Canis lupus familiaris: one gene and its partners. The protein of the gene in region 7 binds, or shares a complex with, the protein of the main gene of each other region. Links are inferred from orthologs where the notes say so. Each region holds a gene or a part of one and is shown on either strand. Other genes may lie near its edges. The genes, in order: CWC15, RBMX2, CRNKL1, SRRM2, TXNL4A, LSM5 and SNRNP40.

The links.
Region 1: SNRNP40 (region 7) and CWC15 share a complex: the UniProt entries of both Homo sapiens proteins name them as parts of the minor spliceosome. The link is inferred for Canis lupus familiaris from reciprocal best matches to the Homo sapiens genes SNRNP40 and CWC15.
Region 2: SNRNP40 (region 7) and RBMX2 share a complex: the UniProt entries of both Homo sapiens proteins name them as parts of the minor spliceosome. The link is inferred for Canis lupus familiaris from reciprocal best matches to the Homo sapiens genes SNRNP40 and RBMX2.
Region 3: SNRNP40 (region 7) and CRNKL1 share a complex: the UniProt entries of both Homo sapiens proteins name them as parts of the minor spliceosome. The link is inferred for Canis lupus familiaris from reciprocal best matches to the Homo sapiens genes SNRNP40 and CRNKL1.
Region 4: SNRNP40 (region 7) and SRRM2 share a complex: the UniProt entries of both Homo sapiens proteins name them as parts of the minor spliceosome. The link is inferred for Canis lupus familiaris from reciprocal best matches to the Homo sapiens genes SNRNP40 and SRRM2.
Region 5: SNRNP40 (region 7) and TXNL4A share a complex: the UniProt entries of both Homo sapiens proteins name them as parts of the U4/U6-U5 tri-snRNP complex. The link is inferred for Canis lupus familiaris from reciprocal best matches to the Homo sapiens genes SNRNP40 and TXNL4A.
Region 6: SNRNP40 (region 7) and LSM5 share a complex: the UniProt entries of both Homo sapiens proteins name them as parts of the U4/U6-U5 tri-snRNP complex. The link is inferred for Canis lupus familiaris from reciprocal best matches to the Homo sapiens genes SNRNP40 and LSM5.

The regions. Positions count from the first base shown.
Region 1 is NC_049242.1:6,122,846-6,126,500, reverse strand, and holds part of CWC15 (spliceosome-associated protein CWC15 homolog), read right to left. Parts: intron 163-3,655; coding exon 44-162; intron 1-43. UniProt on the Homo sapiens protein: Involved in pre-mRNA splicing as component of the spliceosome. Component of the PRP19-CDC5L complex that forms an integral part of the spliceosome and is required for activating pre-mRNA splicing.
Region 2 is NC_049260.1:102,430,668-102,434,836, reverse strand, and holds the start of RBMX2 (RNA-binding motif protein, X-linked 2), read right to left. Parts: upstream 2,900-4,169; 5' UTR 2,771-2,899; coding exon 2,766-2,770; intron 2,571-2,765; coding exon 2,455-2,570; intron 1,195-2,454; coding exon 1,143-1,194; intron 1-1,142. UniProt on the Homo sapiens protein: Involved in pre-mRNA splicing as component of the activated spliceosome. As a component of the minor spliceosome, involved in the splicing of U12-type introns in pre-mRNAs.
Region 3 is NC_049245.1:3,693,032-3,696,481, reverse strand, and holds the end of CRNKL1 (crooked neck-like protein 1), read right to left. Parts: intron 2,708-3,450; coding exon 2,606-2,707; intron 2,164-2,605; coding exon 1,915-2,163; intron 825-1,914; coding exon 657-824; 3' UTR 599-656; downstream 1-598. UniProt on the Homo sapiens protein: Involved in pre-mRNA splicing process. As a component of the minor spliceosome, involved in the splicing of U12-type introns in pre-mRNAs.
Region 4 is NC_049227.1:38,744,296-38,747,950, reverse strand, and holds part of SRRM2 (serine/arginine repetitive matrix protein 2), read right to left. Parts: coding exon 3,631-3,655; intron 2,653-3,630; coding exon 1-2,652. UniProt on the Homo sapiens protein: Required for pre-mRNA splicing as component of the spliceosome. As a component of the minor spliceosome, involved in the splicing of U12-type introns in pre-mRNAs.
Region 5 is NC_049222.1:688,210-692,627, reverse strand, and holds the start of TXNL4A (thioredoxin-like protein 4A), read right to left. Parts: upstream 2,913-4,418; 5' UTR 2,801-2,912; intron 2,443-2,800; exon of another isoform or gene 2,434-2,442; 5' UTR 2,400-2,433; coding exon 2,247-2,399; intron 346-2,246; exon of another isoform or gene 276-345; intron 1-275. UniProt on the Homo sapiens protein: Plays a role in pre-mRNA splicing as component of the U5 snRNP and U4/U6-U5 tri-snRNP complexes that are involved in spliceosome assembly, and as component of the precatalytic spliceosome (spliceosome B complex).
Region 6 is NC_049235.1:44,955,572-44,959,726, forward strand, and holds the start of LSM5 (U6 snRNA-associated Sm-like protein LSm5), read right to left. Parts: upstream 2,934-4,155; 5' UTR 2,822-2,933; coding exon 2,776-2,821; intron 1,690-2,775; coding exon 1,594-1,689; intron 1,309-1,593; coding exon 1,281-1,308; intron 605-1,280; coding exon 532-604; intron 128-531; coding exon 95-127; 3' UTR 1-94. UniProt on the Homo sapiens protein: Plays a role in pre-mRNA splicing as component of the U4/U6-U5 tri-snRNP complex that is involved in spliceosome assembly, and as component of the precatalytic spliceosome (spliceosome B complex).
Region 7 is NC_049223.1:69,144,962-69,148,616, reverse strand, and holds part of SNRNP40 (U5 small nuclear ribonucleoprotein 40 kDa protein), read right to left. Parts: intron 461-3,655; coding exon 340-460; intron 1-339. UniProt on the Homo sapiens protein: Required for pre-mRNA splicing as component of the activated spliceosome. Component of the U5 small nuclear ribonucleoprotein (snRNP) complex and the U4/U6-U5 tri-snRNP complex, building blocks of the spliceosome.

The DNA of each region.
Region 1 (3,655 bases), on a different chromosome or scaffold from region 7:
TGCACAATCTGCAATATACATCCAACTGGGTTGTGTAAAGTACCTTCTTTTAACTTTGAAGTTGGCCTGTGGCTGGGATGGACCAGTGAGATTAAGGAGAGGGTTTCCACTCAAAATGTTTTCCATACGTATTCTTTCTTCTTCAGCTTTCTGTTCTTGTTCCTGTCAATGACAGAGGAGGACTCATTTACTTACATTAATTCTGGGGTCAATCTTCTTTCATAACTCAAATTTTAAAAGATTGTTAGGATTTTATGATGGAGAAGGAATAAGCATCAAGGTAGGTTGTTTATTGTTTTGTTTTTTAAGATATAAGAAATACCAGAAAAGTTTCACTTACCAAAATAATTTGGCCTTATAATAAATAGTTCATGCTTGTCTACATTCATTAGTCTGACTCTGAAATTCTATGAATGCCTATTTAAATGTTTTCTTTCTTGAAGTACATCCAAAATTAATTGCTTATTTTAAGAGTCCATCAATAATACATTCTAGTCATTTAAGGGTATGTTAAACATCAAAGAAACACATTTAGCAAAGCTATTACTTTGATTTTTAAAGATGGGCTATATAGAACTATGATTAAAAATAATTTTATTTTGAATTATTAACAGTGTAAATTTGCACTTCCAGGACTAGTGATAAGTTATTATTAGCCCATAAGTAGCTAAAACTATCATGTAAAATATTATATTCAGTTAACATGCATTTCTACTAATCTACCCCACGTTTATCCATTTTGTTCTTATGATTTGTTACTAACTTTCCATTTTCATACCTCTCATCCTTCATCAGTTATGAGCTTGTCTTTCTTTACTTTTAATTTAGCATTAATTTCTTTAAACTCAAATCAGCCTCAGTTTCATTCTTAGAATTAGAAACATAAAATGCCTACAATTCTTAGCCATAGCAACTGCTAGATCTACCTGTTCATGCTCTCTTAAACCAAAAATAAATCCCACTTTATTGTATTTTAGGAAGGGGAAAACTGATGACTTAATAGATCAAGGAAAAAGAGACCTTCAATTTATTTTTTTTTAAAGATTTTATTTATTTGAGAGAGAGAGCATGTGTGCAAAGCAGCAGGGAGAGGGAGAAGCAGGCTTCTCGCTGAGCCAGGAGCCTGACATGGGGCTTGATCCCAGGACTCTAGCCTCATGACTGGAGTTGAAGGTAGATACTTACCTGACTGAGCCACCCATGCATCCCCAGGGACTTCCAATTTAAAACGAACCTAACAGGGGCATCTGGGTAGCTAAGTTGGTTAAGCATCTGACTCTTGATTTCAGCTCAGGTCATGATCTCAGGGCAGTGAAATCTAGCCCTGCATCAGGCCCCACCCTCAGAGGGAAATCTGCTTGGGATTCTCTCCATCCCCTGCTCACACACACACTCTCTCAAATAAGTAAATCTTAAAGAAAAAAAACAAAGCCTAAGAAAGTTCAAAATTTTCCATACAGGTTAATGATGTTTCATTTTAATATCCAAATGTGAACAACAGATTTCATTTTTAAGAGGCCAAATGACTGGAAAGTGAGAAGATGCAATAATCAGGGAAATAAACAGGTAAATTCCTTTAGGTCACTACTCAGACCTTAAGCAAACAAAATCAGGCACATGTGTTCCATCACAGATTAAGAACAGATAGCTTTCTAAAAACAATGTATTTTTTTGCAAATTATATTGATATTGAAAGTGAAAAGACATTTCTCTGAGATTCTAAAAAAATAAGAGCTCAAACATACAACGTATCCATCTTATAATAATGTATGTGATATAATAAAGTTCTGGCCATTTTATATTTGGAATATTACTTCCTTTAGAGTCCTGGCTGGCTGCCACATAAACCACTGGGAAAAAAAGGTGCCAACTCTTTCCATATTCAAGTCCCAGAAACATTATGGTTCACAAACACAGGCTATAATCAGCTTGCAGATGAAATCCAAACCACCCCATTGTTGTTAACAAAATTTTAGTGGAACACAGTAAACTCATTCATTTCTGCATTGTCTATAGTTGCTTCCACACTTCAGTGAGCAGAACTAAAGAACCACACTAGAGATTGCATGGTCTGCAAGCTAGAAATATCCTGAAATATTTACCATCTGGCCCCCTTTACAGAAAGCTTCCTAGCCCCTGACACAGGCTAATTGGTTTGAAAATGTTATATTGGGACACTTCAAAAATCAGCCGCTAGAAAACCAGCCAGGGAAACAGAAACCAAAGTAAAACTGTCCTTCAACCCCTAGGAACACCAATATATTTTTGTACAAAGAGAGTAGAGGAATCTTACAAAATTCCAAGACCTTCTGTCTAAAATATTTATCCTTTTTAAGGGTCAACCAAATGCACCTATATTTCTTGTCTCTATGTATCCAGAGCTGTTAGGCAAGTCAAAAGAATATGGAATACAACTGCCCTCTAGTGGTGGGCAAGTAATATCTACTATCAGGAAAGTTCTTATAATTCTTTGATTTTTAAAAATTAAATATGACAATTATAAGCTATTATGGGAATCACGCTATCCAATGCCAAACTTTGATGGAAATTGTATTTAAAATATTCTTCTTGGGCAGCCTGGGTGGCTCAGCGGTTTGGCGCCGGGTCAGCCCAGGGTGTGATCCTGGAGACCTAGGATGGAGTCCCGCATCGGGCTCTCTGCGTGGAGCCTGCTTCTCCCTCTGCCTGTGTTTCTGCCTCTCTCTCTGTTTCTCTCATGAATGGACAAATAAATTCTTTGAAAAATAAATAAATAAAATATTCTTCCAATTTGAATTCCAGCAATCTTCTACTTCTCTGGATTCCTCACATGAACCCATGTCAGTCTTTCCCCCCTCTTTAAACAGAGTAATTCTTGGTTCAAATGAAAATTTACACAGAAGCTCATAAAAAAAAAGCTGAGCTGTTCTGTTTGAAAGTGGAGACAGACATCTCCATCTAAGTATCTCATAATGTGTCAAATTCAACACGTTCCAGAGCTCATCATCTCTTTTCTCTCCACCTAAACATGTGCATCCTTCTGCCATCCCCTGTATTAGTTAATGTCAACAACATCTACCCAGGAACTGAGGGTCATCTTTGTTGCCATAGCTAACCAGTCACTTTATCTGGTCAATTTTACCTCCTTGACAACTCTCTCAGCATCTATTTACTTCTCTCAATTCCAATTCTATTATGCAAAATTATCTTAATTGCATATGAGGATTATTGGAACAGCTTCCTCAATCAGTTTTCCCAATCCTCTATACTTCTGCCAGGGTTATCCTTCTAAAATGCATAGCCAAGTAGATGACTATTAAATTTATTATTTATATTTTTCTATGTTACTGAAATATTTCATAATAAAAAAATAAAATGCATATCAAATCTTGTCTCCTGCTAAAATCAACTAGCTCTTCATGGCCTTCAAGACAGAGTCCAGGGGCACCTCGGTGGCTCAGGGGCTGTCTACCTTCCACTCAGGTCGTGATCTTGGGGTCCTGGGATCGAGTCTTGTATCAGGCTTCCTGCAGGGAGCCTGCTTCTCCCTCTACCTATGTCTCTGCCTCTCTCATGAATAAATAAATATCTTAAAAAAAAAAAGAAAAAAGAATAAGACAAAGTCCAAACCCCTTTAGCATTGGCTAATGAACCTCTACTTTTCTGACCTGCTCTT
Region 2 (4,169 bases), on a different chromosome or scaffold from region 7:
AAAGACAATCTTCATGGAGAGCAAGGTGTACAGCCAGAATAGAGAATTAGAATAAGCAAACACACTAGCTGATCATCACTCAACGCAAATAAGACAAAAACAGCCCCTATGAAGGCTGGACCAGACAGAGGTATCATAAGGGGTGGAAACTACAGGCTGCACCTGCTGTAAACTTCCAGCTGCCCAGAAGTCAGAGAAAGCAGCCTCTGTCTCTCTTGGGCGCTAAGCCAGAGTGGGCTGCCGAAGCCCTCTCTCATGGCCCTCTCATGGGTACTGCCCAATTTCTTTTCCATGGCCCTCTCCTCCATAAGCTGCTCCACCACTCAGCCACGGTCCTCTTCCTATTGGACGGCCCCACCATCCCCTGACATGGCAATGTCTCCGCCACAGTGTGCTGGCAGTGTTTACTTCCCCAAATCCTTCTGCCACAGTCCTCTGCCCTCAGGGTCCCTAAGGCCCCATGGACTGTCTAACCACTCTGTGTAGCTCTGGGTTGTGCCCAGCCCCTCTCCCACCAGCCGCCACCACCAGTGCAAGATGCTCTCCCACCCAATGCTGCTGCTTTCATCTATGGGCAGAATGAAGAATATAAGGTTCACCTATTCATCCTTGTTCCTCATCAGCCCATAATTCTCAGCTTCTGGGTAAAGAGACCGGTTCTGCTTACTAATCTTATACCCATCTAGAAACAAGAAAACTGCCTAAACTTTTTGCTTTTTCTCCCATTCCTCTGTGCTTTGCCCTAATCCCACAACACCACACAGGTGTAGGCCAGAAGGGCCCTGTGATCATGGATTACCCTTGGGTTTGCAGGAGCCCAAGGAGTCCAACATGGTAGTTTCCTGTGAGTAAGTCTATTCTGGTGTAGGCACAGGCTGAACAAGCCTCACTTAAAAAGCAATAAAAATAGACCAGAATCCCCAAGACAGCCTCCTAAATCATCTAACTTCTTGGATTTTCCATATTGGGAGCTCTATAACCATGTCCTGGGGCTGATCTAGACTAGAGCAGAAGCTCCAGCCCTCCCCATGCAGGGAGCCCAGTCAGACTAGAATAAAACAAATAGACTTTGTGAGGCCACAAAATGTATTAAGCAAGCATAATTTGATGACCCAGAAGGCAGGAAATGAAAAAGGACTTACTGTGAGAACACACAGATAATGTCCCCTTCAGTCAGTTCATAAGGAAGCCCTCCTAGGAGAGAAAACCACATTTCAGTTCCACAAACATTTACCAAGCATCTCCTCCATACCATGCACTAGGCCCAGCAATGTGGGTGCAAAGAAGAGTAAGCCACAGGGCCTGCCCTCAAAGAACTCACAGTCTGACGATTTAACAGAATCATATATAAGGTGCGGCACTAGTGCAGCAAAAGGAGTGATTAACTTTGTGGAAAGGTCAGTGTCATCACTAACCAAATACTCCCCACACCCAAAACCTTGCAAAGCAGACAGTTTGCAGCATAAAACTCTGTTTCCACAAACATATCTTGAACTCACCTGCTCTTTTTTTTAAGATTTTATTTATTTATTCATGAGAGACACAGAAAGCGAGGCAGAGACATAGGCTGAGGGAGAAATGGGAGCCTGATGCAGGACTCAATACCAGGACTCCAAAATCACAACCTGAGCCAAAGGCAGACGCTCAACCACTGATCCACCCAGGTGCCCGGAACTCACAAACTCACAGCTAAGATTACAGCAAAATCAGTTTAAATATGAAAATATTACCCCACCTCACATAGACTAAGGAATCTTTGGTTGTCTATAGACAACTGTTCAGCATTTCATAGGAAATAAATTCCCCTGCAAATCTTTCGTTCCTCATCTGTAAAATGGGGATATTAGTACTTATTTCACAGAACTGTTGTAAGAATTAAATAAAACAATGGACATAAAGTGCTTAGCACAATATCTGGTGCAATAACTTCTTTGCCCAAACTTTCATATTATTGGATGCGACACAAGTGAATACAGAGATGACAATATGGCCACGGACAGAAGGCAGAAGTTAAGTAAATGAGGAAAATGAATTCTGAGGGAAGGAGAAAGGGCGGGGGGGGGGGCGCTAGCAGTAATACAAGATGGTGGTTAAGATCATCAGTTCTAGAATCCCATAGTTCTGGTTGTTCCACTTATTACCCATGTGACTTTAAGGAAGTCCATTAACCTCCTCAGCTATGTAACAGGGGGGCGCGGTATGATAACAGTCTCTGAAACCAAGTGGCAAGGACCACAGTGAACGGCAAAGGTAACTATTATGGTCACTGACTTGGCAGGAGGAGCAAACTAGAAATGGAAGAGAAAAGAGATACAGAAAACGGATTTACGGGGCAGCCAGAAGAAAGAAATCTAAGTGCGTGATGAACGTCAGAAGGAAGGAAAGGCGGGAATGCTGAAAGGTTAGGAAGCGCACCAGGAGAGAATGAGCAGTGCAGAAAGATGTGACTCTCACCCAGGAAGATCCAGGCGCTGTCCTTGTACTCAGAGTGCCAGGACACCTTATCTGCCACCCCAAGCTGGACCTCACGCTCATTCAGCTCGTTGATCAGCTTCACTTTAGTTAAAGGGCTGCAGAGAGAGGCGGAAAAGCGGCCGTTAAGTGCGGCCTGGCCAGAGGTAAGGGAGAGCAGAACTAGAGGGCTAGTTCTCCAGTCTCCGCGCCTCTCCCACCCCTCGGCCCCGCAGGCTCTCTACCACCCCAGCCCCGGTGGGCAACTTCCCGCGGCCGGTCCCTACTTCTTAAGAGGTAAACTGAGGCCTTACTTCATCTCCTCAGGTTCGCGCTCAGCACGGAGACGTTAACTTCCGGGTGAGTCTGTGTCGCGCGTGCGCAGCGCCGATGCCGTGCGCCCATTGGACTCCGCGGAGTTCGCGCTGCGCCACGCCGGAAAGACGGGCGCGCTGGGGAGCTGCGCTTGCGTAGTAGCGCGGAGAGGCCCTTGGCTCGCTCTGCGTGTTTCGCTCTATCAGGGACTCTATCTAGCTTCTCGCTTAGTCCGTCTGTGAAACGCGGCATGGGTGTGAAGCGGGTTTATTACAGGACCCTCAGCTGCTGGAGGACGCCTGGCATTGATTGGGCTAGCTATAAATGTTTACTGAATTGAGATTGAAAAAGGTGCTGCTCTAGCAACTGTAGTCCCTGGCTCTATCCTCAGTGAAAATCCCCTTTCGGGCTTCCACTCCCAGCCAGTCGCTCACGCACACACACCCCTCAAACCATCCCTGATCAGAAATTGCAGCAGAAAAGTGAAGAAGGTATGTGAGAGGGGAAATCATTTTTTTCTCCCTTAAATCCAAATGCATAGGCAACTAACCAGTCTGATCGAATACCCAGATTTGTCTAAGAGCTCACCCTTTTCCCATAGTCTCGCTCCTACTTAAGCAGGAGGCAGAAATAAATAATGAGAAAGCTAATAGTTAAGCATATGCTACGTTGTGTGCTAAGCAATTCACTTGTACTGGCCCTCCCTCCTCATAACTAACCCCATGGAGTCTATACATACAATTACCTTCCTTGTACCGAGGAAGAAACTGAGATTCGAAGGAATTAGTTAACTCAAAGGATGTCCTCTGCCTCTACCTATCAGGTCTTGTTGACTTACTCAGTCCTTACTGAGGATCTATATTTGTCTTGTACAGTAAAATCTGTAGACAGGAATGTAAGGTGAAGTCCTCTGCCCTCTGGAGCTAATGATATCATTAAGGAGACAAAATATATTTGCTTGGTAGATTTCACTCCAGAAATAATGAGGAACCCATAGAAGGTATGGTGGCATACCTTCAGTGTGATATAAGCCATATTGAAGTTTTGAATCCATCTCATATGTGTCCATGTCAATAACTGGTATCAGACCATGCCTGGTCTAAAAGTGAAGTTCCAGAGCTGGGTAGTTCTCTGTGTAGGCCCAGCTTAGAGCCCCAGAAATTAAGCATTTCATAAAAGTACTTTGATGATGGGATTATGACAACTGTACCCTCAATGACCCATCATGTACCCACATCCTGACAAAAGCAGGAGACTCTCCACCAATCAAAGTTTCCCTTCATTCATTCTGTGTTTGTGCCCCCACCCCATCCAGCTCAGCTATTCATTAACTTTATGGAATTATCTTGGCAATGAAAACTAAACAGTGACAGATTGCATACAGGTTTTATCTGCTCCTGGGA
Region 3 (3,450 bases), on a different chromosome or scaffold from region 7:
GTACAGATATTTAGAAATTAAGCACATTTCAATTCTACAAGGATGAACATGTTTAGGAAAGTGGCTGGAAATGAACATTTTATTGAGCCCTCACAATGTGCCAGGTCTATTCCATTTCTAATGTAATCTTCAAACTGACAGAAGGCCATTTTGTAAGTGAAGAAACTAAAAGGTTAAGTTATAGATCACTAAATGGCAGAGCTGGGAATGAAACTCAAGTCTGTGTGACTGAAGATTCAGAAAAGTTGGAGGTCTCAGGTGAGTGTGCTCTATATATCATTATGAAGAAAAGCATGATAAAACCACCTTAAAAGTTACTGTAGAATGTAACTTGAACATCGCTAGAAAACCACTTTCAAAAGTCTGTAGGTCCATCTAAAATAGCTGAAAGCATTACCTCAATTAGATTTCCTAATGTGTGATGTGGACCAAGAAAAATGTTTAGACTCAGATAAATCCAGCAGTTAGAAAAATTTACTTGCAATCCCCCAACCCCTCACTTACCCCAAGAGCATTTTAAAAATAATTCAAAAAGTAGCTATCAAAGACTCCAATCAATTCGTTACTGGTGAGGTGTAAAAAAACTTAGAGTCACAAGAGTTCCAAATGATTAATTTATAAAAATAATAAAACATTTATCAATATGAACAAGAAAATCAGGATTCAGTCTCATCAATGTCCTTATCTGGGTCTTGCTCGGCAGCCTCCTTTTCCTGTTGTTGTTTCTTCCAAAGTTTGGCCATGGCCAGGAGCTTGAGGTTGGGCTGGTTGGCAGCATCTTCTGGAAAGATGTAATCATAGTACTCTTCCCAGCCTGCATCAGACTATGGGAAAAAAAAAAAACAATGAAAAGATAAGCTAACACGTGACTGAAATACACTGCAGTTAAAGTGCAGAATTTTCACCGCGAAACCCACAGAGTTCTTCAAATTTAACTTACTTTCATTTTACGAAACCACACCAAAGCCCATCTCAGAAGAACCAGGGCTGGCTTGCAAGATTGGGCTAAACAAGTAGCTGTTGGGTGATGGACATTAAGGAGGGCAGGGGATGTGATGAGCACTCGGTATTACAGAAGACTGATGAAACACTAAATTCTACCTCTGAAACTAATTATATACTAGATGTTAATTGAATTAAAACCCAAACAGTAGCTGTTGGGGTTGGGGTTGCTACAAGTGGAGCTCACTGAGAGCTAAAAACCAGTGGAAAAAGATCCTAAAACACAAAGCACAGCTCCTCCTCTTTCATCAACCAAGATATCCCATGTTCCATGTCCACCTTCATCTAGTTTTCTAAGATTTTAAGTTTTTAAAGACTTATTTAATACTCAGTAACCAAAGTCATAAATCTGTGCACTATTATTCTGACTCCTTGCCCTTACAGCCCCACCTCCAATTGGTCACTTATTTGGCTTTCTAAAGACTACCCTAGCTCCAGCTTCCACCATCACTTGCTTTGCTTACAATAGCCTCCCCGATAGGTCCTCCTCAACTCTGAGCCCCTTGGGTATGCTTGCAGGAGATGCCAACCACTGGGTCATGTTATTTTGTGCATAAGGGCCTTCCTATAGCTTACAAAGTCTGTGGCTTGGATCCTACCTAAAAGCTAAGTTTCATTTCCCTTCACTCTGACCTCCTGTTTAATGCTCCAGAAACATCATGCTTCATATAGCTCCCAGAATCAACCATCTCCCAGAAACCTTTGCCACCTGTCTCCCATTCTCCACCCCTGGGTGATCTATATACTCTGCTCTGTGTTTCCACGGTAGACAGACTGCAACCATCTCCTACTCCAGGCTATCTGCTCCCATGTTCAGATTCATATATGACACTTAAAAGTACAAATTTCAAAGTCAGATGCATTTCTGCTCATCTGACATGAGATGACCAGCACCAGAGGCTCAGTTCTTACCCCATCATCAGCCTGGACCTTTCTTCTCTTTTTGACTTTCTCTGGCATGAGTTTGTCTACTCTTTCTTTATCTGATACTGTTCCAAATTCATCTTCAAAGCTTCGCCATGATTCCAGCAACATAAGTCTCTCTTCCTTTTCTTCACAGTTCCTCATGGTTTTGTTAGCCTCTTCATAAATCTGTCTGCATTTAGCCAAACTTCCTTCTTTCCTTGATGATAGCTCAAACTGTGCAAAGCTGATCCATACCTTTAGAAAAATTATTACAGAAGCAAATTAACATGTCACCCAGAAAATGGTCATGTAGTAATGCTAATTCTAGTTAATGACATCTGAACATACTAACATGTTTATCTATAGTATTCCAAAGAACATATTGATTATATGCTTCAATAATGTTGAAATCAGTCTGCTTCTCTAACCAATTAGGTGTTTGAAATAGTCGTAAAATCCTGAAAAGAGTTTAGCTTTTTACTCAATCCTATGATATTCAAGTTATTCCCATGCAGTATAAATACTGACCTGCTATAAGCTTTATATCACAAAGTCCTCTGAGACTCAGAGGCTCTTTCTAAATGCAAGAAAATCATTACAAACCAAACTTGAAACACTTAAAATACAAAAATATGTTATTTCCTTCAGGACTGCTGATTCAACCAAAATCAGAGATAATCTACAGAGTGCAGGGTACCTTGACATGCTGTGTCCGCTGAAGCAATCTTCGGTAAAGATTTCGTGTTCTCTCCGTTTCTTCCTGCTCAATTTCAAAATCAATGTATGATTTCCAAAGCACCTACAAAAGAAAACTTAATAAATCAGCCTTGACATTTAAAGAGCAACACGTCCCTATCCAAAGCTGAGCTTAACTACCATTCCAACCTAGAACACCTAGAACCTAGGAACTTCTATGAACAGTTAAGGAACAGGCAGCATCTGGACACAATAAAACCAGTGGTGTTTACAAGCTGGCCAAAATGTGGTTACCATTCTACATTATGAGATAAAAGGCTTTGGATTCAGGATTCATTTTTGGATTTTCTTTCAGAGTTTTTCAAATGCTAGACTTCCCAAGAAAAGCTCAGAGACTGCCAAGTCTCCTAGACACTGCCATGATCCTATCACATACAACTTGACATTGCCAGAAGACATGCCTAGATTAGCCAGGATATATTCTTCTTACCTCCACTGTAAATTCCTTCATGTCTGAGTACCCAGCCTACTTGCTGGGTACTGCTTGTCAGAGAAAAAGGATGAAGTAAAACATGGCCTGGACGCCTAGCAGTGGAGGCCAGCCGACGGAACCAATAATACACAAAGCCCTGGCCTATGCAGCCCAAGCCACAAAATGAACTCACACTGGGGCAGGACTAACAAAAAAGGCTGGGTGAGTTCAGTGGCTCTCAAATCCAGCCTCTCCGTGGTTTGGCGCCACCTTGTGGCTCAAGTTTAAATAGGGAAGGGATGATTTTAGCTCCTAGGATAGGTCAGGACCTCGGCAATTTAATTTCAGCAATATGGTGGTTTAGACAGAGCTTC
Region 4 (3,655 bases), on a different chromosome or scaffold from region 7:
TTGGTTTGGCTTAGCTAACGCACTTTGGTCTTTCGTATCTGGAGATGATCCAACACCACCTCTTTCCCTTGACGGGGTTTTAGGTGTTTCTCTGAGTACTGGTGAGGAATCAGGCTTATCCTGCACTGGAAGAGGACTCAATTTGTCTCTTGGTATGGGAGACGATGCAGTAAAATCCTCCTGAAGGAGTAAGACTGATTTCTCTTTCAATTCAGAAGGCTCCAATCTACTCTGCCCCAGAAAAGATTTAGAGTCCATTGCAGGATATGGGGAAGAGTCAGATTGGGACTTGCTTTGCTCAGGAGACAGTCCAGATTTTAGCCTAGGACTTGACAATTCCCTTCTTTCTGGTCTTGCTGGAGATTTGGGTGCCAGCTCAGTGATTGGAGAGGAGGACCTGGACCGGCCACCCATAAGAGGTGTCTGAGATTTGCTCTGCAGAGATGGAGACTCAGAATGACTCTGTTTCATTTCTGGGCTTGAAGTATCAGATCTAGGATCTGGTGAAGTTTGAGATTGTCCTTTCTGTTGCAAAGAGGAGGCTGCAAAATACAGCTCTCCTGGTGGTGTGCTAGACTTTATTCCTGGACAGAGAGAGAAGAATCCTGAACTTTGTGCTGGTGAGTCTTTAGACTTCTCTTGGGAACATGGTGATTTTGATTCACTAAGACTGTGCCCTGATGGAGTTTGGGGCTTTACTTTAGGGCATGGCGAAGTAGACCCTGAGTGACTTTGTCTTGGTGGTGTTCCAGGTTTCACTTTGGTATCTGGTGAGGAGGACCTAGAACGGCTCTGTCTTTGCAACAATCTAGATTCCATCTTGGAGCAAGGAGACTCTGATCTGCTTTGCCTTGGCGGTGTTTTAGATGTCACCCTACTAGGACTAGGAGAAGAAGAGCCAGAATGGCTTTGGACTGGTGATGTTATTGCCTTGACTTTGGGTTGTGGAGAGGATGACCCAGATCGGCTCCGTCTCGGAGGTGTGCTAGATTTTACTCTAGGAGGAGAGGACCCGGAGCAGCTATGTCTTGAAGGGGTTGCAGATTTCAGCTCAGGGTCAGGTGATGATTCTGAACGGCTCTGTATTTGTGGTGTTGCAGATTGTTCATTTGCCTGGGGACTTGTTACAGACCCTTGCCTTGGTGGTGTTCCAGACTTCACTTTAGGTTGAGGAGATGAACTGGAACAACTCTGTCTTGATGGTGTCTTAGATTTCTGATTAGAAGGAGGTGAAGAACCAGACCGACTTCGCCTCGGTGGTGTTCTGGACTTAGCTTTTGGTTGGGATGATCCAGAGCGACTGCGCCTTGGTGGTGTCCTAGACTTTTGTTTAGGACATGGAGATGATCCTGAAAGGCTTCGCCTCAAAGACAAGCGAGATTTTGCTTTGGACCGTGGTGAAGAAAGAGACCTACTCCGCCTTGAAGAAATGCGAGACTTTTTCATTTCTGGGCTTGAGTTGGACCTGCTCCTTCTCTGTGACGTCCTGGATTTGTTCTTCCGTTCTGATGATGAACCAGATCTGCCTCTTCTTTGTGGTGTTCTAGAGTGAGATCTTCCTCGTCTAACTACACTTCTACTACGAGATCTTCGTCTTGCAGGTGTCCTAGACCGAGATCGTCCTCGTCTTGCTGGTGTCCTAGACCGAGATCGTCCTCGTCTTGCAGGTGTTCTAGACCGAGATCTCCCTCTTCTGGCTGGGGTTCTAGAGCGTGACCGACCCCGTCTGGCTGGGGTTCTAGAGCGTGACCTGCCACTTCTCCTGGCTGGTGATCTGCTACGAGACCTCCGTCGTACTGGCGACCGGGTCCTAGATCTGCGCCTAGCAGGTGTTCTAGAGCGAGACCTGCCCCGCCGGGCTGGTGTTCTAGAGCGTGACCTACGTCTGGCAGGTGTCCTGGATCGTGACCTCCGCCTGGCAGGTGTTCTAGAGCGAGACCTGGCCCGACGGGCTGGTGTTCTAGAACGTGATCTGCCCCTAGTGGCTGGGGATCTAGAGTGTGACCTGCCTCGCCTTGCTGATCTAGACCTGCCTCTTCTCTGGGTATTTCTGCTTCTAGACCAGCCTGGTCTCTGAGGAGACCTAGAGCGGCCACGTCGCTGGGGACTTCTGGAACGTCCCCACCTCTGTGCAGACCGGGACCTACGCCACTGAGGGGACCGGGACCGAGAATGACCCCTTTTGGTAGGGGTTCGAGACCGAGATCGCCCCCTCTTGGTAGCAGTAGGGCTACGGGACCTCCCCACTCTTCGAGAAGGGGTATGAGAATGTGACTTATCCCGCTTTCCCCGGCCATGTGAGCGACTCTTGGATGCGGGAGAAGAAGAAATCTCTCGGCGGGACCCAGGAGCCGGTGCAGGTTTAGGACTTTCAGGGGAAGAGCTGGCATGTCGAGAAACTTTGGTAGGTTGAGGGGATGGTGGGCAGCTCTCTGAAGAAGACTGGGGAGGTTTCTCAGGAGACTTAGGTAGTGAACGGCCCCTGGTTGGGGAACCCTCAGATGGGGGGTTCACTGGCTCCTGACTTAAGGTGGCTGTTGCAAGGGGTTGTGGGGAGCCGCCATGTTGCTCAGCAAGGAGCGGAGTGGGAGCAGGTGGTTCTGGGCCTGTGCTGCTCCTTTCCGGAGAGGGGCTAGGTCGAATTCCAGATTTCTAAGAGTGGAAAAGAAAGTATGGATAGGAACATAAGCACCAGAACTTCCTATTACCTAAAAGACCCCAAACACCCTTTCCAATGAAATTTTCCTCTCACACACCCCATCACACCAACTGGTCCTTTTCTCACCACAGGCAGTCATTCATTAACGAAAGACCGTATAAAAAGACAGTGGGGAAAACATGAAAATATGGACAGGCTATCACTTTAAAAGTCTTATTATCTAGAAAAAACACAATGTAAACTAACATATGACATTTTCTAACAACCGTAACAAAGTGCCATGGCAACATAAAAAAAAGGCACTTTTATTAAATTGAGAAGCAAAGCAATTTCCCTTAAAGTGGGAGGCATCTAACTTCACCCTTGAAAAAGAATACTGAAATAAAAAACAAAGGCAAAGGTTCGAGGACATGACTTATGTAAATAAGACTACAGTTGGTATAGTTATAAGAGCTTTAAATATAAAAAAAAACATTAAGTTTTTGAAGTGATCCATCCTGTAGTTAGAAAACTTGATGACGTGAAAAAAAGAACAAAGAGCTAAGAATTTAGCAAAAAACTATTTATGGAATTTATGAAGTAAGAAAACATTGTGAATAAGGCTCAATCAGAATACCCATAAAACGACACATACTTAAAGCACAGGTATAGTAGCGTGTTCAAATTGCAGGCAGCAACCCAGTGGGTTGGAAACGAGCATTTAAGGAAATAAAAAAGCCTAGATATCACAGATAGTAAAGCTAAACATAATTTAGAAAAAATAAACTTTTACCCAGACTGTATATAAACACATTAAAGGACAATGACATAAAACCTATCAATAGCCAGCAGTCTGAAAACCAGAATTCTGAAGAATTTGTAAATACAAAAGAGAACTTGATCAAAAAGAACCAAATTCACTTCTTTCCTTCTCTTTAAACATCCATCCTAACCCTGCAACCCAATAAACATCCATTAACTCAGAAACATACCTCCTTCTCTTTATCTTTTTCATGA
Region 5 (4,418 bases), on a different chromosome or scaffold from region 7:
TGGTAAGACAGCTCAGAGGTACACAGCCTCTCCCTGAGGCTGTGCATAAAATCAGATTTTAAATAGGAAACTTTGTTATTACCACTCTACCAAGCTCCAGACATCTGTAAAATCATTAAGCTTACCTCCCATGTTTTCAGGGCAGCTCAAAACTAATACAGCATGAGGTGGTGGCCTCATGATGGTTGGCACCATCAAAGCATCAAGTCAACACACCACATTCCCGGAGAAACAATCTAATCAAGTCCAGCCTAAACGGTGGAACTTTTACTCACTTTAAAACAGCTGGGGTATCCAAACAGGGCTCGAGACAGGATGAGGAAGATCCCCCACTATCTGCCATTTCTGCAGAGGGAGATTTTTAGATAGTTAAGTTGTTCTTTATACTAAAACTTTAAATTTCAAAAATTCCTGTTGAGCTCAAGAAGGACTTCCAGAATTATAAACTCATGTTTTGCCTTTACACAGAAGAAAATAAAACAATTATCTTGTGATGAGTTTCAAGTTTGCATTTCTAATAACTGTACTATATAATATTAAAAGTTTATTAAAACAGAAATCCAAATTTTTGGACCAAAGAAAAAGTACCTTAAAGATAAAACAAAGACAAATACTCAAAGTGAGCCCAACTAAACTGTTCTTATCAGTAGGTTCGATCCCAGAGTGCGTTCCTCAGTGATCCCGCAGTCCAGCCTACAGCTGACACACAGGGATGGGAAAAGAACAAACAACTTGCTGAAAGTCCCTAAGAGCTCAGGTTAACACAAAATCTGTCTCCCAAAGAAGAGCGTCTTGCTGGGTTTTGCCTGGGTATGAAGAGCCAAAGGAGCCTCCCGTCTCTAACCATCCTGACCCTGCACCGAGGGCAGCAGGAGCTGGTCACCACCTGGTGTTTATGCCCCCACATGCCCCGCACAATTCAGAACACACACCCTACGTTATTTCAAGGTCAACAGAGCAGCAATGGTGTTTCTCAGGAAAGTGCTTGGAGGTGGTTCTTCACTGACCACAGCAGTGTCTGCTTTTGACGCGACAAACTGGCGCCGCAGCTCTCCCGAGCTCCCCAGGCACCTCCTCAGGCTCCCCAAGAAGAGAAAGGGAACGGCCAGTCTCCCAGCACCCTTACTCTGATCCCGAACTCTGCCAAGTGGTTTTTGGAAGCCACTTCAGAATTCCCAGGGCAGCTTTTGGGCAGAGCTGTGTGTGGACCTCACCCCAGACCTGCAGAACGAGAACCTCGGAGGTGCACCTGAGCAAGTCTTCCAAGCGATCCTCACGTGACTGACCGGAAAGACGGCCTCCACAGTTCCACGGTTCCCAGTGCTACCACCCGGCCTCGCTTGGCTTCTCCCGCCACACAGGAGATCAGAAAAAGTAGCAGTGGAAGGTCAGATAGTTGTTAGTGAACTAACCTCAATGTGGGGTCCTGCTCTGACCCCCGAGACTTCGCCTTTCCCAGACACATCTGTCCCTACACCTGTTACCATGTACTGAGCTATCTTAAGCCCTTCTTCCTCTGAAAGAAATCATGGCTTTAATGTTTCCATTACTCTTGACCTCTCCTTATTTACGGAATATCAGTAAGTAATCTATGAATTGGCTACAACTACACATCCAAATGAAAGTTCTCCTGAAATGAGCCCACAGAGCCCACAGGAGAGCACCAGGTGCTGCTGGTTCTGGAACTGCCAACAGAGCCTCCGACAAGCCAGGGTGCCAGCATGGTGACCCAGACTGGGTCCAACCAGGCAAGTCTCCCAGAGCACGTCTGAGCTAGGAGTGCACTTAGGGCACAAAGACCGGGATGGAGAACAGGCTTTCCTTCCCCTGACAGGCACGACTGCCTCCCACACACAGGGAGCAAAGCACCAAAAACTGGCAATCCTGTGCAGCTACCTGGCTAAAATGGCGTTCCACGAAGTCCCTAGGTGTGCTGCTCCCAGCTCCGTGGAGGTGGCACCATGAACCCCTTCAAAACCTGGAGACCAGGGACACACTGCTCCCACGGAAGGACCGTAGCCTCGGGGCACAGGGTCAGGCCCCCTGAGCCCGCCGCACCCTACCCTCTGAGGCCTGGAGCCTCCACGCGGGGGTCAGGCCCTTGGACCCTGCTGCGCCTCTGCAGCCTGGAGGAAGAGGAGGACCTGCACGCGGTCACCTCACTCCAACCCTGCAGCCACCTAGCAAACGGGGCAAACCAAAGACCACAGCTTCCTAGGCTGACGCTGGGCGGGGGGCTGTGTTACCTTCTCCGCGATGCTGTACAGCACCTCGTCCATCTTCATACACGTGGGGTCCCAGTCGTGTCCAAAGCGGATGACGACCACGCGGTCCTCCTCCGACAGGATGGCCTGATCCACCTGCCAGCCGTTGTGCAGGTGTGGGAGCATGTACGACATCTCGGGGCGGCTCCGGGTACACCTGCGGGCACACCTGCGGGAACTGTGCGCACCGGCTCCTTGCGGCCGACTGCGGGCAAGGGCTGCACGTCGCACCCGCCCGCGCCCCTGGGTCCCACAGCAGACCTCACCCCCCCGACCCCTGGAAGAGGGACGGCACTGAGGGGACGCCCTGCAGACCCAGTCCCCGGTGCGGAGGCCCCGGGGTCGCCCCCATCCGTGCCCCTCGGTCCCGCCGCGGGGAGGGCCTGGGACCCCCGCAGACCTTGCCCCCGGCCCCCGGCCCCGGCCCCGGCCCCTGTCAAGCTCTACCCCTGGAAGGAGAACGGGGCCGCGAGGACGCCCCGCAGACGCCAGCCCCTGCCTCCCTCGCCCCCGCTCCCCGCTCCGTCCGCCCGCACCTCAGCCGACCGCAGCCTCCCGCGCGGCAGCCCTTCCCGGCGGGGACGCGAGCCGGTCGGTGCGTGCGCGTGGCCGCCGACGCGAGCGTGAGCGTGCGCGTGGCCGCCGACGCGAGCGTGAGCGTGAGCGTGCGCGTGGCCGCCCGACGTAAGCGTGAGCGTGCGCGTGCGCGTGCGCGTGGCCGCCCGACGTAAGCGTGAGCGTGCGCGTGCGCGTGCGCGTGCGCGTGGCCGCCGACGAGGGGCCGCGCGCGCCCGGCGCCGGGAGGGAGGGACACCGAGCCGGGGCTCCCGTGTGCGCCCGGGCGGTGCGGCCGGTGGCCCCCGGACCCCGCGGGGTCGGTCTCCTGAGGTGTCGCCGCGGTCACGGGGGGCCCGGCTTTGCCGCCTGATTCTCAGCCCCAGTCAGGCCCCTCGGAGCGACCCAGCTTCTCCGCGGCGCCCCCGTGCCCTGGGGGTGTGACGAGGGCAGCCGGCCGAGCGGAGCTGCGAGGTGCGGTTCGGGTCCCGGCGGGGAGCAGCGCTGGGAGCCGGGGGACGGGGCCGGCACACGGGACAGGCCGAGGACCGTGACGTGACGGGCTGGGGAAGGCCCGTCCTGCTCACCGCACAGCCGTCCCCGGGGCGGTCAGGGCAGACTAGGCCCCGCTGTGCGGTCGCCGCGTCAGCAGAAGACCAGCTAAGGTGTGGGTCACCGTGTGAAACACGCACGGCCCTTGTCGCCCGTCGCCCCGTCCGCCTCCGGGCGCGTCCTTTTTGTCAAGAAGCTGACGGAGGATCCCCCACGTCCTGTGGGGTCCTCGCGCTGCAGCCCCGGGGGGTCGTAGAAGCGCCACTGCGGTCTCCGTTGGGGCAGCTCCCGTCCTGCTGGGGGGAGGCCCGAGCGCGGTCGGCTGGTCGTCCCCACTCCCCGCGGTCCCTGAGCCCCGGCGACCGCGGACTCCCGCCCGCCTCCCTGCCCCCGCCTGCCCCGGGCAGTTCGTGCGAGCGGAGACCGACCGGGACATCGCCCGGGACTGCCTTCTCCAGGCCGCGCTGTCCGCGGGCGTCAGGATTCGGTCCTCGGTGCTGGTTACCACTTCATCATACGCATGTGTGCATTTTTTTATTTTTATTTTTTATACATTTATTTTTTGTTGGTGTTCAATTTGTCGACATCTAGAATAACACCCCGTGCCCGTCCCGTCAGGTGCCCCCTCAGGGCCCGTCACCCAGTGTGTGCATTTCATTTATCCATCGTCTGACATTTGGCTGTTTCCACTTTCTGGCCGTCGTGCATATGCTGCTGTGAACATCTGGATTTGTGTTTGTGTGGACTTAGGTTTTCGCTTCCCTAAGAGTATATGAGTGGAAAGCCGGGGTCACGCGATAACCGTGTTTAACATTTTATGGAATACGAACTGTTTTCAAGAATGGCTGCAGCTTTATTGTATTTATTCAAGAGAGCACGTGCATGCCCCCAAGTCGTAGGGTAGGGGAGCGGCGGAGGGGTGGGGCGGGGAGGCGGGGCAGGGGAAGCCGGCTTCCCACCGAGCAGGCCCTGCGGGGACTCCAAACCCCGGACCCAGAGACCGCGACCTGAGCTTAGCCAAAAGGCGGAAGGCGGACGTTGACCTAC
Region 6 (4,155 bases), on a different chromosome or scaffold from region 7:
GGAAACTTAGCTTTACAGAATCCAAACATTAAAAGGCTTAAAAAAAAATCGATTTTGTTGTCATTATAGGACAAAAGAGAGTAAGGAAATCCATTCATACTTCAGGACCTTCTCCTCCAGGAACTAGCTGCAGAGAAGGAAAAAGAGCTTATTAATACCACCACCACACCCATCATCTAAAAACCCCTTTTCACCCATCAAAGATACCTGGCCTCTTTGCTCCTCCCCCACATTCCCATTTTCTCCAGGTCATTGCTTCTGTTTATAATCCCAACATCGTCAATTAATACTTAGAGTCTAAACAATGATTCTTGGCAAACCAAAAGATTAAAAAGCCCAAGCAAACTAATCTTTAAGCCTATTGTCATGTTCAGTAGCTCAGCTTTAGAGCCCTGATCACAGGAGCATCTCATTCCCAACTTAAACCCACTGGGCCATGAACATTTATTTAACCAAGCCAAGTAATCTGTAATCTCTGCCTCACAAAAATGGGCTACATCTAAAAAAACGCCCAGCTTTACTGTACCTTACCATTGTTATATTATTTCCATTTAGCAAAATTTGATCTAATTTAGTGATCCTTCTTCCTTCTGGTGTGATTTCACTAAATGAAGAAATAAAAGAGTCAAGATAAACAATGATAATCAAAGCCAACATTCTGATCCCTAAAAAAGTTATTCTTATATTATATGAATATGAGGTTGAGCAATTATGTCAGTAGTTTTCAGAGACAAAGGTTATCCACTGGATGACCAAAGGCAACACAGTGAACTGACTGGCCTCAGATCCACATCCACTAGGATCAAAACTAAAAGAAGCTAAAACTGGCCAAAGAGATCAAATATGAAATGGAATGTTTACTAGCCTCACCTTTTTACTATTATTTACTACTAATCCCTTACCCATTAAACCAATCTGTAATCAACTCAATTTTGAAAGCAGACACTGGTTGTGATCTTTAAAACTAATATAATGGAGCTATCATTTATATCTTAAGTTTAATGCCTTGATTTGTCTGAGCACAAACATCCTTGGCTGTTTTTAGTATCTTTTATCTCAAAGCTCAGTCTCCACTAAGTCCCTACCAGTCATTAATAATAACATAATAATTACATCCGGTAATAACTGATCCAATTTTACCAGTGTCAGTAGATAAAATTTCTATCTTTAAGGTATTTCTGACAGGCAATGTTTTCTCATTAATCATTTTAAACTCATTAATACTAAAATTGACTTAAGGAGAGATTCCCCCCAATTCTTTAATTTTTAACACTACTCACAACTCAGTGACATCCTCCAGTACCATATCTGAAATTTGGTGTTAAGAAAAATACATATACCAGGTTGAATTTACTCTGGCTTCTATCTTTACTCCATTTTAATTACAACGTTTAATACAATGGCTCCAGAGCAAAATACTAGTAATCGGTAGGAACTTTATCTTTTTTCAGTACACACACCTCTTAAAACGCTATCAAGAGGTGAATAAATTTCTAATACAATAACCAGTTACGTACTGACTGTCCATATTCTTATTTCTGTTCTTAAGTACTGCAGGAAAACCCATACCACCACCACCTTTTGAAAGGATACTGACAAAGTCATCAAATCCCAAAAGTGTGCCAACAATTTCTTTATCACTCTTCATCACAATGTGAATTCTTGATCCTATACATTTGTCCACGAGCTCTATATATATATATATATATTTTTTTTTTTTAAAGAAAAAAAAAGAGGGGTGGGGGGGTGGAGAAAAAAAGATTATTTTACCTGTTCATTTCTTCAACAAATATTGGAATGCCTACTGGCACTTGTTAGTTACTTACTGTGAAAGATAAACCAGAGAAAGTATTCATTCAAAAACTTTAGAGATTTTACGGTACGTTATCTCTGTTGCATAAACAAAAACGTCCTGTTTACCACTTACCTCTCCTTTGTTGAAGTTTATCCATCACGGTTGTGGTTTAATGTTATTTTAAGTGATTTTGATTAACATACGAAATGCATAATTAATATATAATTAACATCTGAGCCCCCCCCACCCCCTGCAGCCCAGGTGGTTCAGCGGTTTAGCGCCTGCCTGCAGCCCAGGGCGTGATCCTGGGGTCCTAGGATCGAGTCCTGCATCGGGCTCCCTGCATGGAGGCTGCTTCTCCACCTCTCTGGGTGTCTCTCATGAATGAATAAAAATGTTTGTTTGATGTTTTTTTTTAAGAGTCTAAGCCCCATGAAACAACTGTGGTTGTTTTCCCAGGACTCTATCCTCAGTGGGCAATGTCTGGCACATAGCAAGCGTTCAAAAAGAGTTGGTGGAATCAAAGAATGAAAACTTCCAAAACAAGGCCACTTCCGATAACTCCATCAACTCTTTGGCTACAAAATATCGGAAGAGGCACAACCGTATCCACCAGAGATTTCTTCCTGTCACTATCTCTGTGTTCGGACCGCAGTTTGAACGCCTCGTTAGCTGGCTTCGTTATCACTCGGCGTGATGCTTACAGGTGGAGCGCTCTATCTCCTCCTGGTGTGTGTGCTATCCGCAGGCAGTGGGAGGCGTCTGAATTTGTCCAAGAGCGCCCAGCCCTCGTGCCTAGTGCAGAGAGGCTCCCGGGCGGCCCGGGGCCGCAGACACTCGGGAGCCGGCAGACGAGCCGCGGAGCACTGAGGCCCTTCATCCCCACATTTCCCTAACACTCGACCAAGGGCTACTTCAGCCGCAGCCGCCCGGGCCCCAACACTTAGCCTGAGCCCTCCGGTCCCCTTCTCCGCGATTACCTAGAGGCAGCAGCTGCGACGGGTTAGTGGTAGCGTTGGCCGCCATGGCTACGCCGGAAGTGGCCCGCCGGCCTCGCCGTCAGCCCGGCAAGTTTGAAAGAGCGCGCTTCCGCTCCCCCCGCCGGCCCGCGGCCCGGACAGGCTCGACCAATCGGAGGCCGAACTTGCGATCCAATCAGTCCGCAGGAGTCGCTCCTTCCCAATCGCTTCTTTCCCGGGCGCTGAGCTCTCGGGGAGAAGGTTCCGTCCGCTGCAGGTGGTGCGGTCTGGGCACGTAGCGGCTTTCCCCGGGCAGTTTCCGACAGACAGACGCTAAAGGGATCCTGCTTTGTGAATAAATCCTTCCTGCAACCCGGAAGGTTTTGCAAAATACGGAAATCTTTGAATCGTCTTATTTTCTGCTATGAAGTTGCACCTCATCTCAAGCCAGGATCTTTTTTCAGACCGAACCAAAAATTTTTTTTTTTTTTTTTTTTTTTGCCACTAATGCACTGTGTTGCAGTTTTTGTAAAAGCCGTTTTTCAAAGCATCTACTCCTAGAGCGCCCATGTGCCTCAGTGGGTTAAGCCTCAGACTAGATCTCAGCTCAGGTCTTGATCTCAGGATCCGCTGGTTGGGCTCCACGTTGGGTGCGGAGCCTATTTAAAGAAGAGAGAAAAAAGAATCTAGTGCTTCTTTTTAAAGTCCAGTGAATTGAAAACCCACAACCAGCATTTAAAAAGAAAAAAAACCTTCTACAGTGGAAATTTAAAACACATTTTATTTTTATGCCTACTACCTTATCATTCTTACCTTGTTGTAGCTAGGAGTCCAATTTATCACAGACTGTATCCACTTTCAACACTTAACTGTCTTGTCTTATAAGCAGCCACCAGATGTCACTGTCCGCTAATGTCATCACACAGGAAACCTTAAGGCTTTTTGTTTTTTTTTTGTTTTGTTTTGTTTTTTTAAATTTTTATTTATTTATGACAGTCACAGAGAGAGAGAGAGAAGCAGAGACACAGGCAGAGGGAGAAGCAGGCTCCATGCACCGGGAGCCCGACGTGGGATTCGATCCCGGGTATCCAGGATCACGCCCTGGGCCAAAGGCAGGCGCCAAACCGCTGCGCCACCCAGGGATCCCAGGCTTTTTGCACTTCTGTTTTGCAAAGAATAGAAAGCAAACAAATTCTCTGCCTTAAGTCTGTTTCATATTTGTATCCCAGGAACGTAAGGCTGACGAGTCTAAACAGGAGAGAGCAGAAAAAAACATCATTCATTCATACAACAGATAGTTGTAATACACACATCATTCATTCATGGAACAAATATGCATTAGCTACACACTATTTGGCATTTTGCTGAGTATAAAACTGTACAAAACAGAACTACAATGTC
Region 7 (3,655 bases):
TTTGGATGGATCTCAACAAACTAATAATTATCAAGAGTTTAGTACACTGCATGGCTCAACAGCATACCAGAGCTGAAACAGGTCTTAAAAGCTATGTGCAAAGTTGCTTAGGGATTAGATGGCAGATCTGGGACAGGAATCGTGGCTTTTTGACCATATCTTCTAAAGCTTTTTCTATTACCATGTGTTCTCCTAATTGCCCTTGTAGAAACCTGCAAACCACCCTTGACTCTTTCCTTTGATCCACATTATCCCAGTATACATTTCTAAACCCAATGCCCACTTTCCTTGTAGTCTATAGTGACTGGGCCCTTTAAGAGCTTTCCTTTCCAAAGTTACCTGTATTGTCCATTGCATTGGACAAGAGATAAGAGCCTTCAGAACTTAAACTCAGGCCAGTCACTGAATCTGCATGGCCTCTCATGGTGTAGGTTAGCTTGTTTTGGCGCAAGTCCCAGACCTACAAAAAAATAAAAATAAAAAAAAGAGGTACTCCCAGAAATCAAATTGAGAATAGCAAAAAAAAAAAAAAAATATAGTTACTAGTCAACTGCCTTGAGAAACTGGCATCCCTTCTCAATCTGGCTATGGGCCAAGAGAGAAAAAAAAAAAACCTCTTATCTTTTGCAATTTTTTTTTTTTTTAGAGAGAGAGCAAACATGAGAGGGGGGTGGGAGGAGGGGGAGAGGGAAAAAGAGAACCTTAAGCAACCTCCATACCCAGCAGGGAACCTGACATGGGGCTCAATCTCATGACCCTGCGCTCATGGTCTGAGCCGAAATCAAGAGTCGGATGCTTAACCAGCTGAACCCCCAGGTACCCCTCTTGTTTTTCTGAAAAGGGAGTCAAAGTGACTATGTCTGACTAAAGGGCTATAAACTAATGTCAAATATTATAATAAAGTTTAACAAAAATTAAGAATTTACAGGAGTTCTTTTCAAATTATAAATGTATTAAAACTTTAAAAACTAAAATCTTTAAAGATTTATTTTTTTATTCATGAGAGACAGAGAGAGAGAGAGAGTCAGAGACACAGGCAGAGGGAGAAGCAGGCTCCTCGCAGGGAACCCCATGTAAGACTTGATCCTGGGACTCCAGGATTATGCCCTGGGCCAAAGGCAGGCACTAAACTGCTGAGCCACCCAGGGATCCCCAATAAATAAAATCTTTTTTTTTTTTTTAAGATTTTATTTATTTATTCATGAGAGACAGAGAGAGAGAGAGAGAGAGGCAGAGACACAGGCAGAGGGAGAAGCAGGGCTCCATGCAGGGGGCCCAATGTGGGACTTGATCCGGGCTCTCCAGGATCATGACCTGGGCCAAAGGTGGTGCTAAACCACTGAGCCACCCAGGCTGCTCTCCAATAAATAAAATCTTAAAAAAAAAAAAAAAAAAAGCTTAAACTATGCATCTTAGGGATCCCTGGGTGGCTCAGCGGTTTAGCACCTGCCTTTGGTCCAGGGCATGATCCTAGAGTCCCGGGATTGAGTCCCGCATCAGGCTCCTGCATGGAGCCTGCTTCTCTCTCTGCCTCTCTCTGTGTCTCTCATGAATAAATAAATAAAATCTTAAAAAAAAAAAAAAAAAAGTTAAAAAAAAAAACTATGCATCTTAGCAATTAAGACTTAACTTTTAGAATTACAGAAAAATACGTGAACACATCATTTGAAAAGGGCATTATGATGAAACACACATGTATAGAACAAGGCAATACACAGAAATATAGTTGCTTAAAAATTTTCATTAGAAAATGTGGCTAGAAATAACCTAATGTCAAACAGGGAAAATAAATGGTTCATTAAGTTATGGCCCATAAACACACTGCAACACTGTATGACCTTATGCTAGAGATAGTAGAGTGGAAAGGGTAAATTGTAAGACTTATGTGTTATTGGGCCACTAACCCTCCTCTAAGCCTGTTTCAGGTCTGTAAGATGGGGATAACAACATTTACTTCCTATGGCTGTTGAGAAGGTTACAAATAGAAGGCTTAGCAGATGCCTGGTACACAGCAGGCCCTCAATAATTGGTAGCTATTATTAAGCAACTCCTAAAAATAACTCTGAAGACCAAATACAAAAATGTTCCAATAATAAGTTATTAAGCTAATAGGAAGATACAAAACAGTATTTATATTTACATAGACGGAAAGTATATAAAAAATATAAAGGTAATATAAATAGTCTGGAATGTCATATGGAAAAAGAATAGCAATTTTGCTAAGGTCATTGGTATAATATAGAATTTCCTCCAAATCTGATTTAATATTGCTATGTAGTTTTTCTAAGTGAAATTAAATAAATGTTTTTGCTCCCTACTTAAGTAAGGCACTTCTCTTACCTAGAAATGAGTTTGATGTTGATACATAAGCTAGACAACTCCACTTTCCCCATCAATAACTCACTCATGTGTGGAACCCAACAATCATTTTTGTGTCAGGATGTTTGCTGCCTCAATAATCAGGAAAGCTTGAAATGGCTGACGTTTTCTGTTCAAGCTATTGTTCTTCCTCTTCAGAGAAGGCATTGTTGAAGTCTTTAGCTTTTTAGGAGAATATAATGTGCCATCCCTTGTAGCACTTGGACACCATTTTCAAACCTTCCTTCTTGAGGCCTGCACACACTATTGGTGTACAGCCAATGTGTATCTGGGATTTGTTACAGAAAGAACTAATTTAAGCAAGATGTTTTGCAAATGCCCAAATCAGTTGTTCAGTGAATGTTTGGGCATCTGGTTAGTGGGCATCGACTCTGTTTTCATGCTAGAAACAGTATAGAGTAGAAAGTTTTCCCAAGTTTTTGGAGTCTTGTTTACTTTTTTCTTTTTAAGATTTTATTTATTTATTTAGAGACAGAGTGCAAGCATGAGTGTGGGGGAGGGGCAGAGAGAGAGGGCGAAGATGATTTGCCGCTGAGCAGGGAGGCCTGATGTGGGGCTTGATCCCAGGACCACCTGAGCCGAAGGCAGACGCTCAACTGACTGAGCCACACAGGCACCCTACTGTGTACACTCTGATAAAAAAATATTTCCTGAAAACAAAGCACTGGCAGAAAAATATTGGAATGTTTATAGATAAATCAGACTTTTTAGTTTAAAAAGATAAAGACTACAAGGCTATGATGTAAACTTATAAAACATATAGTGTCAAGGCCCATGGCTGGTGCTGTTGGAGAAGCATATGACTCTTGACTTAGGGGTCATGAGTTCAAGCCTCACATTGGGTATAGAGATTATAAAAAATAAACAAACTTAAAAAAAAAAAAGGAAAAGAGAAAAACACAACATATAGGATAAGTAGGAACTATTCACCAAATTATACAAAACTAGAATAAGGGATCTTCTCAAAGAAATATGAAGGTCGGTCATTCATTCATTCATTCATTCATTCATTTTCTAAGTAGGCTCCATACCTAGCATGGAGCCCAATGCAGGGTTTGGATTCATGACCCCGAGATCAAGACCTGAGCTGAGATGAGGAGTCAGTCAACTGACTGAGCCACACAGGCACTCCTAAAGAATATCCTTTTATAAAAAAGCTAATGATATATGTAATTATTGTACTTATGGAACTTTATTTACACATTCTCTATATATGAGATAAATTTGGCCTTCAGAACAAAACTGGCATGACTGAGATTAGCTACCTGTAGAAACT